2 linked regions of the Arabidopsis thaliana genome follow. The protein of the gene in region 2 interacts with the protein of the main gene of each other region in a pairwise test. Each region holds a gene or a part of one and is shown on either strand. Other genes may lie near its edges. The genes, in order: MYB52 and GATA3.

Region 1 (4,501 bases), on a different chromosome or scaffold from region 2:
AAGAAATCTTACAAAGGAAATTAAATGAGCTTTGTTGTTGAACAAAAAAAAGGAAATGAGCTTTGTGATATAATTTTCTGCTTACATTGAGATGATTGATATACTATCTACCACCAAAGTAGTTTATGAAATGTTTTCTCTCATCAAAAGCAAGAATAAGACCACTATTTCCAAAGCGTTGTTGATCAACAACAGAGTTTGGACACACTTAGTAGTCCATGAATCTGATTGTAGAGATGATCCCAAATTGGTCACTAATTGATGTGAGTGCAATGATGCTATACATACTACTGTACATATATACTAGATATTACCCACTGCTGTAACCAGCAAGCTCATTAATTATCCCCATGATTCAATAGTCATCCTTGCTTTGCCTTTTTGCTTTCTGATTAACCAATTTGTTGATAGACCTAACCGGTTTAGTGTAATCAGGATCCGGTTTGCTTTATTTGAAGAAATCTTATTTGAAGAAATTCTTTTTAGTTGTGAAAGATTGTATTTGACTTCCTTCCCAACTAACTCTGCCTATTTTCCTACTAATCTCCACCAGTAATTAAGTTTGGCTTTGTTCCTACACACGTGCAAATGACTAATGAGTTCTAAAACAGTTTGGTTATAGCTTACCTAGGATTGAATTGATTAGTTGATTGGATTATAAGCTATATATCCAATCAATCCTTATAAATATTCAATAAACTGTTTTGCAAGCAATCTCAAGGAAAATTTGAACTTTGAAGTACAATACATCACTTTTCAGGTTTTCAACTTATTCCTATCATTTTATTTATATTTCATATATTTATTTTTAATGTTCTTAAGTATTTAGGCTATGTTATTATATCTTATCTGAATGTTAAAAATAGAAGTCGGTAACCATGAAATAGAAGTCGGTAACCAATGCTACATTTCATGTTTTTTTTTTCAATTTAAATTTGTTAGAGAACTGAGAGTACAAATTAAAAGCCAACCGTCGTAGACAAGACAAGAGAGAAAGTTGGTGATGTGCTTGAAGACCAAATATATGTTTGAGCAAATAAGATGTCAAATTCATTTTTATAAAGTACAAAGCCACTGATATATCAGTCAGTTAACCTATTAATTAATTAAGACACAGAGTCGTTTTAGGGTTTCCACGTTGGTCCGATTTAAGGAAAATAAAACATTTGGTTAGGTCTGAAAGGTTTAACAAAACATATCCAACGATATTTAATTACTTTATTCTACTTATACGTGACCTGCAATTAAATCATAGGTCCCCAACATCTTTACCAAACTCTCTCCTTCCCCTCCAGTATTTTTCTCTTAACAATGTATTGATATTTTCGAAGTTATAAAACCATTTTAAAACTTGTAACAATTGTCCATTAGTTATACCAAAAGGCAATACGGTTGAAATTTAGTCATCGAGTTCGATCCACAAATCCTGAAATAATAACCGTTACATTCCCCCTTAATTCTGGACGTACGAGTTCGCCTTAGTTATTTTTTATTGTTGATTTAATTTGCGGTTATGTAAAATTTCATAAATTTGGAAAATATTGTCCACATGTAATATACATAGCTAGACTTTTGAGATTTTCATTGCTTGTAACATTGTTGTTTTATGTAGTTAAACACTAACAAATGTAAGTTTTATTTATTTCTTTCAAAGTAACACTAATACAACATCATAACAGGTAAATGCAACTATAGATTTTGCAATCTAAATGTTCGTTCTTTGAACCATATATTGTAGTTAACTAATTATAGCGTTCTCCCACCTTGATTCATATTCTAGAAGTTGTCCATATATAAAAAGCTGACCATAATAATTAATATACATGTGTACATGTAGCTTGTAAAAGGTTATACGAACGTAGATGAAGTATTGGTGGCTGAAGTAGAGGGTTTAGGTTGGAAAAAAATATATTTAAGGGTAGACGTTGAAAGTTTAACGAAAACACCCCACCAAGCAATCTCTTCCCTCCTGTGTAATCTCCTTTTTTCTTTTCATTACTCATCAATTACTCAATTATTAAAACTCTCACATAAACCAAAATAATGTATATAAAAATTACGAAATAAATGGAAAAATAAAAAAGGGTAGATTACTTAAAAGGAGTGTGTTTGGTTAGGGAAGACGTTGGCATCAATCGCCGGTGAAAACCTCTCTCCAAACTTTCCCTCACTCTCTAACGAATCTTATTATATTCATTACTTTCAATTCTTTATATAATATCTAAATAAATATACTTATATAAATACATGTATGTATGGTGCTGTTGCTCTTCAGCTTTCTTCTTGTTCCTACATACCCATCTTCCCTCACCTACATCAAACCTAGGGTTTCTTAACTATATCAACAACATATATAAATTTATATATAGGTTGTGATTTATTGAAGATCATAAAGATCAAAAGGAGAGAGGTATTAAAAAATGATGTGTAGTCGAGGCCATTGGAGACCTGCAGAAGACGAGAAGCTAAGAGAACTCGTCGAACAATTTGGTCCTCATAATTGGAACGCCATAGCTCAGAAGCTCTCTGGTCGATCTGGTAAAACTGACTTTATATTAAAGTCATTTCTTTAATTTCTTACAAAGCATATATAAACTAGGGTTTAATATATTTATATAAAAATATATATGTTGGTTTGATTGGATCTTTTGGTTTCAGGTAAGAGTTGTAGATTGAGATGGTTTAATCAATTGGATCCTAGGATTAACCGAAACCCTTTCACGGAGGAAGAAGAAGAAAGGCTTTTAGCGTCTCATCGGATCCATGGGAACAGATGGTCTGTGATCGCTAGATTTTTTCCCGGTCGAACTGATAACGCTGTTAAAAACCATTGGCACGTCATCATGGCTCGTCGTGGCCGAGAACGGTCCAAGCTCCGTCCACGAGGCCTTGGCCATGATGGCACGGTGGCTGCGACTGGGATGATTGGTAATTATAAAGACTGCGATAAGGAGAGAAGATTGGCAACCACAACCGCTATCAATTTTCCTTATCAATTCTCTCATATTAATCATTTTCAAGTCCTCAAAGAGTTCTTGACCGGAAAGATCGGGTTCAGAAATAGTACTACTCCAATACAAGAAGGTAATTAGATAATATGGCTTGAATTTCTGTGTTTATGTAGCTAATATAGCTGCACAAAGATAAAACATGTGTAGCCATACGTATATTGTATTTTGTGTGAATACATATAGGCATATATAAATTACGAACTCATAGAAAACATGTACATTCGTCATATTAATGTGCAAGTAAATGAGTAATGGTGCATTAATTCGTATACAACTTGATTTAAAAAAAAAAACGATTTTTGTATAGATTATATGGGTTAAAATTCATTGTTTTCTGTAAACTCTAAATTAATTTTTGATCAATTTTTTTTGTAAAGATAGTATGAAACGATCATGATTTTCATAGTTACATGCATGCATATGGATGTACACTTGCATGTGGGTACGATTACATACTTGTGTAACTTCCAAAACTAACTTTTGGACATGGATTAATTTGTCAGGAGCAATAGACCAAACTAAACGACCGATGGAGTTCTACAATTTTCTTCAAGTAAACACGGATTCGAAGATACACGAATTGATAGATAATTCAAGAAAAGACGAAGAAGAAGATGTCGATCAAAACAACCGAATTCCTAACGAGAATTGTGTTCCATTTTTCGACTTTTTGTCTGTTGGAAACTCTGCCTCTCAGGGTTTATGTTAATTTGTCCGTACCACATGTACTATAAGGTGGACCATATGTTAATTAAAGATAATGTAGAAAGTACTAATCAATTAGAGCTCTTGTTTGAGCCAAATGTGAAAATTAGTTAAGCCATCCCAAACATGTTCTTGTATAACAAATATAAGGTTGTACTTTTCCACCTTTATCAGGTCTAATTTTCTATTTTTATTTTAAGGATGTTTAATCAGACTCATCACCATTCGGTATTTTTTTTTCTTCATATTTACAGAAATTCAATCAGACCAATCGATAAAAAGGATTGAGCAGAAGTTAATTTATTTTAAAACATTATTAAGTTTAAAGGTTTGTCATGAAACCAATCTTAAACTGAAATTCTGAAGTAAAACCAAAAATTTATTCCAAACTGGCCTAGTTTCACTTTATACTCATTTTGGCTATGGACTATGGTATATATTGTCTAAATTACAAGATGCGTATGTACTGAGAAAATTCTGTGTCCTGAATCCGGATTAATCTATAAATTATCGTAATAGAAGGACTTGAGAGTTGAGACCAAGATTTTATATTTTGTGGAATTTAATTTGCAATCGTCGGATATAATTTTTGTGTTGTTGCGTTCTTAAGGAAGATCAAATATTATAAGGTTTGATTATTAACCGAAGAAAATATGTCATTGGTGCCTAAATATATGTACCACCAAATGAACATCCTTTTAATACAGTACTACTTAATTATAATTTCATGCAGACTATTTTGACTCATATAACTTGTGATGATGATATCAAAAAAAGAAAAAGTT
Region 2 (4,451 bases):
GCATCACAATGATAGATTGGATTTTAGGTAAATCTATTGAAGTTTTTAATGTTTTATTAGGTAAAACTTTATAATAGGTTAGATATTATTCTACATTTTTTTGCCTAGAGATATTGCGAATACAAGAATCATTAACTCAAAAACCACTTGCATTGATTACAGGACTTGAAACTCTCTCCCATTTTCTTGACGTCAAAAATGATAAAAACTACTCCATGTTTTATAAAAGATAAGAAAAGGGAAAGAGTGATGATGATGATGCGTCGTGAATCGACGAATAAGAGGAAAATGTGACACGTTCTCTTTTCCCCCATTACGCTCTCGTCACTCCTCACCAGCCTGCTCCCTTTTCAAACTTTTCTGTTTTCCCCCTAATTTTACGAAAATCAAAATAAGTTAAAATGGAATATATACCAACTTTCAAAATAAAAAATCTTCAAAACATATCAATGTGTATATAGCGACACGAGTATAAAGTCCCACACACACAATAAACTAAGGTTGGCAGAAAAAAATATACCACCAAACTAAGTGATCGTAACTACTCTTTCGAAAAAACCAAACCCTAATCTTGTTTTAAGACTAAGACCAATTATACTAAAAAGGAAAGATTTCATAATTGGAAGGAAAGTAGTATACTTTGATAGTTATTAAAAATAAAAATAAAATGTTCAAAAGATTTGGCTATAGTGGTTGCTTTGGTGAACTCCACTCCAACGGTGGTTTGCACCATCTCCATTCCCATCACTACCAAAAACCCACACTTCTTTTTTTTTTTCTTTCTTTGCGTAATGTGGGTTAAAAGGAACTTTATTTATGCTCTTGTTTTTGGGTGTTTGAATCGAATTTGAAATCAACATTTGTTTTTATTTTATTTTATTTATAAAAAATTTGTGTGTTTGGAAAGTTGTAAAAGGTTCAAGGGGTTTCGGTAGAGATAATCTTAATTTGGTTTTTAACACATCGACTTAATCCAAATTGACATCTCTAATAGGATTCAGATATTATTATATCTATCCTGTAATTTTCCATAAAATGTAATCAATATGAGATTTGGTATTAGGGTATGAACTTAATGTATCTTATCGGAAAAATGTTTTCTCCTTTGGGTTACCTAATCTCATATCTAATGCCAAAAATAGCATAACATAGAAGATTGGCTAGATCATATGTGGACATCACCGACTGCATGGCAATGTTTGTTTTATAATCGCGTAATACTTGTTTGTCATTTGCCAGTTCTCATAACAAATGCGAAAATAATCTTATATATCCTTGGTAATGCATGTAAAAATTAATTTTGCTTCATGAATTATTTTATATTCTTAAATTCATGACTGAATGAAATTTCTTATCTATATTCAGACGCAGTATATGGGACATCTAACTCAATTTTAAGATTCTAGATTGGATGATTTTATGTTGTTTGACAAAAAAAATAAAAAAATTGGATGCTTTCTATAAATTTCATGCTTTGTATTTTATTAAATTTTGAGCTATTATTGTATTAGTATAGAATTGAGCTATTATTGGATTGTTCTTATCACTTTGTTAATTTCATTTGGTCCTTTAGTTAGATATCAAAATTTTTAAAATTTTCAAAAAAGATCACAGGTTTAATCGGTGACTTTCAATAATACTAGTTTTAACACGACAAGCAAAATATTGTGCATGTATACTATTAAATTGTTAATGTTAGTACTATGAAATAACAAATTCATCACCATTGTAAAACTTAATGTTTCAACATTTCCTAAGAAGAAATGGTCAACCCTTTTGACAAGACAAGCTAAATTGGCATGGACAAGGAACACAGCATCATGATATAACCCTTCACAATAATTATAATAAAAACAATCAAATTTGTATTGAATAATGCGAAACAGACCTGACTTATCAATATGTGACGAAGGATAAGCCCACGCCAAAAACATCCACGTAAAGAACTCATTGATTAGGTCCAAAGAAATTTGGAGAAAATAAAACAAATCCTGACGTGAAAATAAAAAGAAATCATCACTTTTTTTTATCTCTTTTATTTTCTTCTAAATACAAAAATTGAATAATCAATTAATTTTTCATGTATGCAAACAATTTCTTAACAAGTCTTGTGAGCTTTAAATGAAATATAGAGGCGAGTGGATTAGACTTGATCCTGATCTTTTATTAAGCTGATCCATATTTTACATTGAAATAAAGGACACACCGTTTAACACGAAAATGAAGAGACAAATAAAGAAGAGGAAAAGCATTGATTCTGAAATACCAATATAGTATCATTCGTGAAAGAAGATTTTGTAATATTCCACAAACTTAGAAATTAGGGGAAAAGAAAACAAAAAAAAAAGATAGGAAAAAAGAGCTTTAACTTTTGGAATTGGAAGAAGCACAAACACACACAAAAAAAAAGTCTCTGTTTTACCTTTTAACCCCTTCAAGAATCCTCCTTTAAGTTCAGTGCCCTCTTACTTTTCTCTTATCGGAATATCTCTCTTCCTCTGTTTCTTCGCCATTCTCTCAGCTTTTCTCCTTCTTCTTCGTCTTTGTCAGGTAAAGAGATACGATGAGCATATCCCACATACCTCTCTCCTCTTCTCATCTTTTTAGTTTCTCGAAAGTTTGCATGCGCCGACTTTGTTATAGGTTATAAACTTTAGTTTTAAGCCTATTTTCGTATGTTTATGGTTGTTGTAATAGTTGAGAATTCAGAGTATGTCAAGTGAAACTTAAAAAGAATTCTATATGTATGTGTGTATGTGTTAAAGAGTGAATGGAGCTGTGGACAGAAGCTAGAGCCTTAAAGGCAAGTCTAAGAGGAGAATCTACTATATCTCTCAAACATCACCAAGTGATTGTGTCGGAAGATTTAAGCCGAACTTCTTCCTTGCCGGAAGATTTCTCCGTTGAGTGTTTCCTCGATTTCTCAGAAGGTCAAAAAGAAGAAGAAGAAGAAGTTGTCTCTGTTTCTTCTTCACAAGAGCAAGAAGAACAAGAACATGATTGTGTCTTTAGTTCACAACCTTGCATCTTTGATCAACTTCCTTCTTTGCCGGTAAATTTCTAAACTTCTTTATACCTTTTCTTTCTCTTCTTATAATCGAAAGATTTTAAGTTATATTTTTCTTGATTTCTTTTTTTTTGGGATATTTTTAGGATGAAGATGTGGAAGAGCTTGAATGGGTATCTCGTGTTGTGGATGATTGTTCATCACCAGAAGTTTCACTTCTCTTAACACAAACACATAAAACCAAACCAAGCTTCTCAAGAATTCCGGTTAAACCAAGAACCAAACGGTCTCGGAACAGTTTAACCGGTAGTCGTGTTTGGCCACTCGTTTCAACCAATCATCAACATGCAGCAACAGAGCAGTTGAGGAAGAAGAAACAAGAAACTGTCCTTGTGTTTCAACGAAGATGCAGCCATTGTGGCACAAACAACACACCACAGTGGAGAACCGGTCCGGTCGGTCCAAAAACCTTATGTAATGCATGTGGAGTCCGGTTTAAGTCTGGTAGGCTCTGCCCGGAATACAGACCGGCGGATAGTCCGACGTTCTCGAATGAGATTCACTCAAATCTTCATAGGAAGGTTCTGGAATTAAGAAAGAGTAAAGAGTTGGGTGAAGAAACAGGTGAAGCTAGTACTAAATCAGACCCAGTCAAATTTGGCAGCAAGTGGTAGATAAGACTTAGGTAAAACCTACTTTTTGTAACATTATCTGTAGTGTTGTAATTTAACAACTTGCTTCTTAACATTTTGAAACTGTTTCAGGAACTAGTCTTAAGTAAACAATGGTTTTCTATAAACAAAATTAATGTGTGTTTTTAATGATGTAAGACCACCACCACCACTACTAGTACTTGGAATGATTTTGGTCCATGTGTAGTGGCTTAAATAGACTTTTTGAGTAAACAAAATGCCAAATGGAAGAATCATCTTGAAAACTCCAACATTACTATATAGTATATATATTATTGATAAATCTTGAGATTCGACATATTTATTTGATAATCGATGCAAGCATAATTAATTTAGACATTTATTCAGCAAAAAAAAAAATTAGGTATGTAATTAATTTATACATATCGAATTACTAAAGGTTAATTTTCAGGCTAATCGTAGATAAACGATTTCGTTAAATCCCCATGAAAGTAAATTTAGGCAAATGTATGATGCTATGTCTGCCGCATAATTGTTTAATCTCACCATTTGCATATCAATCTTTAAGGGAAACATCCTTTTAATGTGTTTATGTGGCCTTGTCTCCGTTTTATTGCTACTTTGTGTCATACTCAAAATAAGTTGACTATAAAGCTACATGTATCTACACAAAAAGAGAGTTTATTTAGTATGCTTGCTTGGGAATAAGCAGGAGACAAAAGAAAACATCCAAGTTAAAACATGAAGCAGCAAAAGAGAGTGTTCATCCACAAAATGTGAGAGGTTTCTTA

The links.
Region 1: the proteins of GATA3 (region 2) and MYB52 interact in a two-hybrid assay, tested with the Arabidopsis thaliana proteins (one large-scale study listed by BioGRID).

Annotation. Positions count from the first base shown.
Region 1 is NC_003070.9:6,175,344-6,179,844, forward strand, and holds MYB52 (myb domain protein 52), read left to right. Parts: upstream 1-2,137; 5' UTR 2,138-2,420; coding exon 2,421-2,538; intron 2,539-2,658; coding exon 2,659-3,084; intron 3,085-3,514; coding exon 3,515-3,720; 3' UTR 3,721-3,946; downstream 3,947-4,501. UniProt on the Arabidopsis thaliana protein: Transcription factor that confers sensitivity to abscisic acid (ABA) and salt, but tolerance to drought. Regulates secondary cell wall (SCW) biosynthesis, especially in interfascicular and xylary fibers.
Region 2 is NC_003075.7:16,550,930-16,555,380, forward strand, and holds GATA3 (GATA transcription factor 3), read left to right. Parts: upstream 1-2,215; 5' UTR 2,216-2,550; exon of another isoform or gene 2,551-2,765; 5' UTR 2,766-2,770; coding exon 2,771-3,052; intron 3,053-3,153; coding exon 3,154-3,681; 3' UTR 3,682-3,943; downstream 3,944-4,451. UniProt on the Arabidopsis thaliana protein: Transcriptional activator that specifically binds 5'-GATA-3' or 5'-GAT-3' motifs within gene promoters. May be involved in the regulation of some light-responsive genes.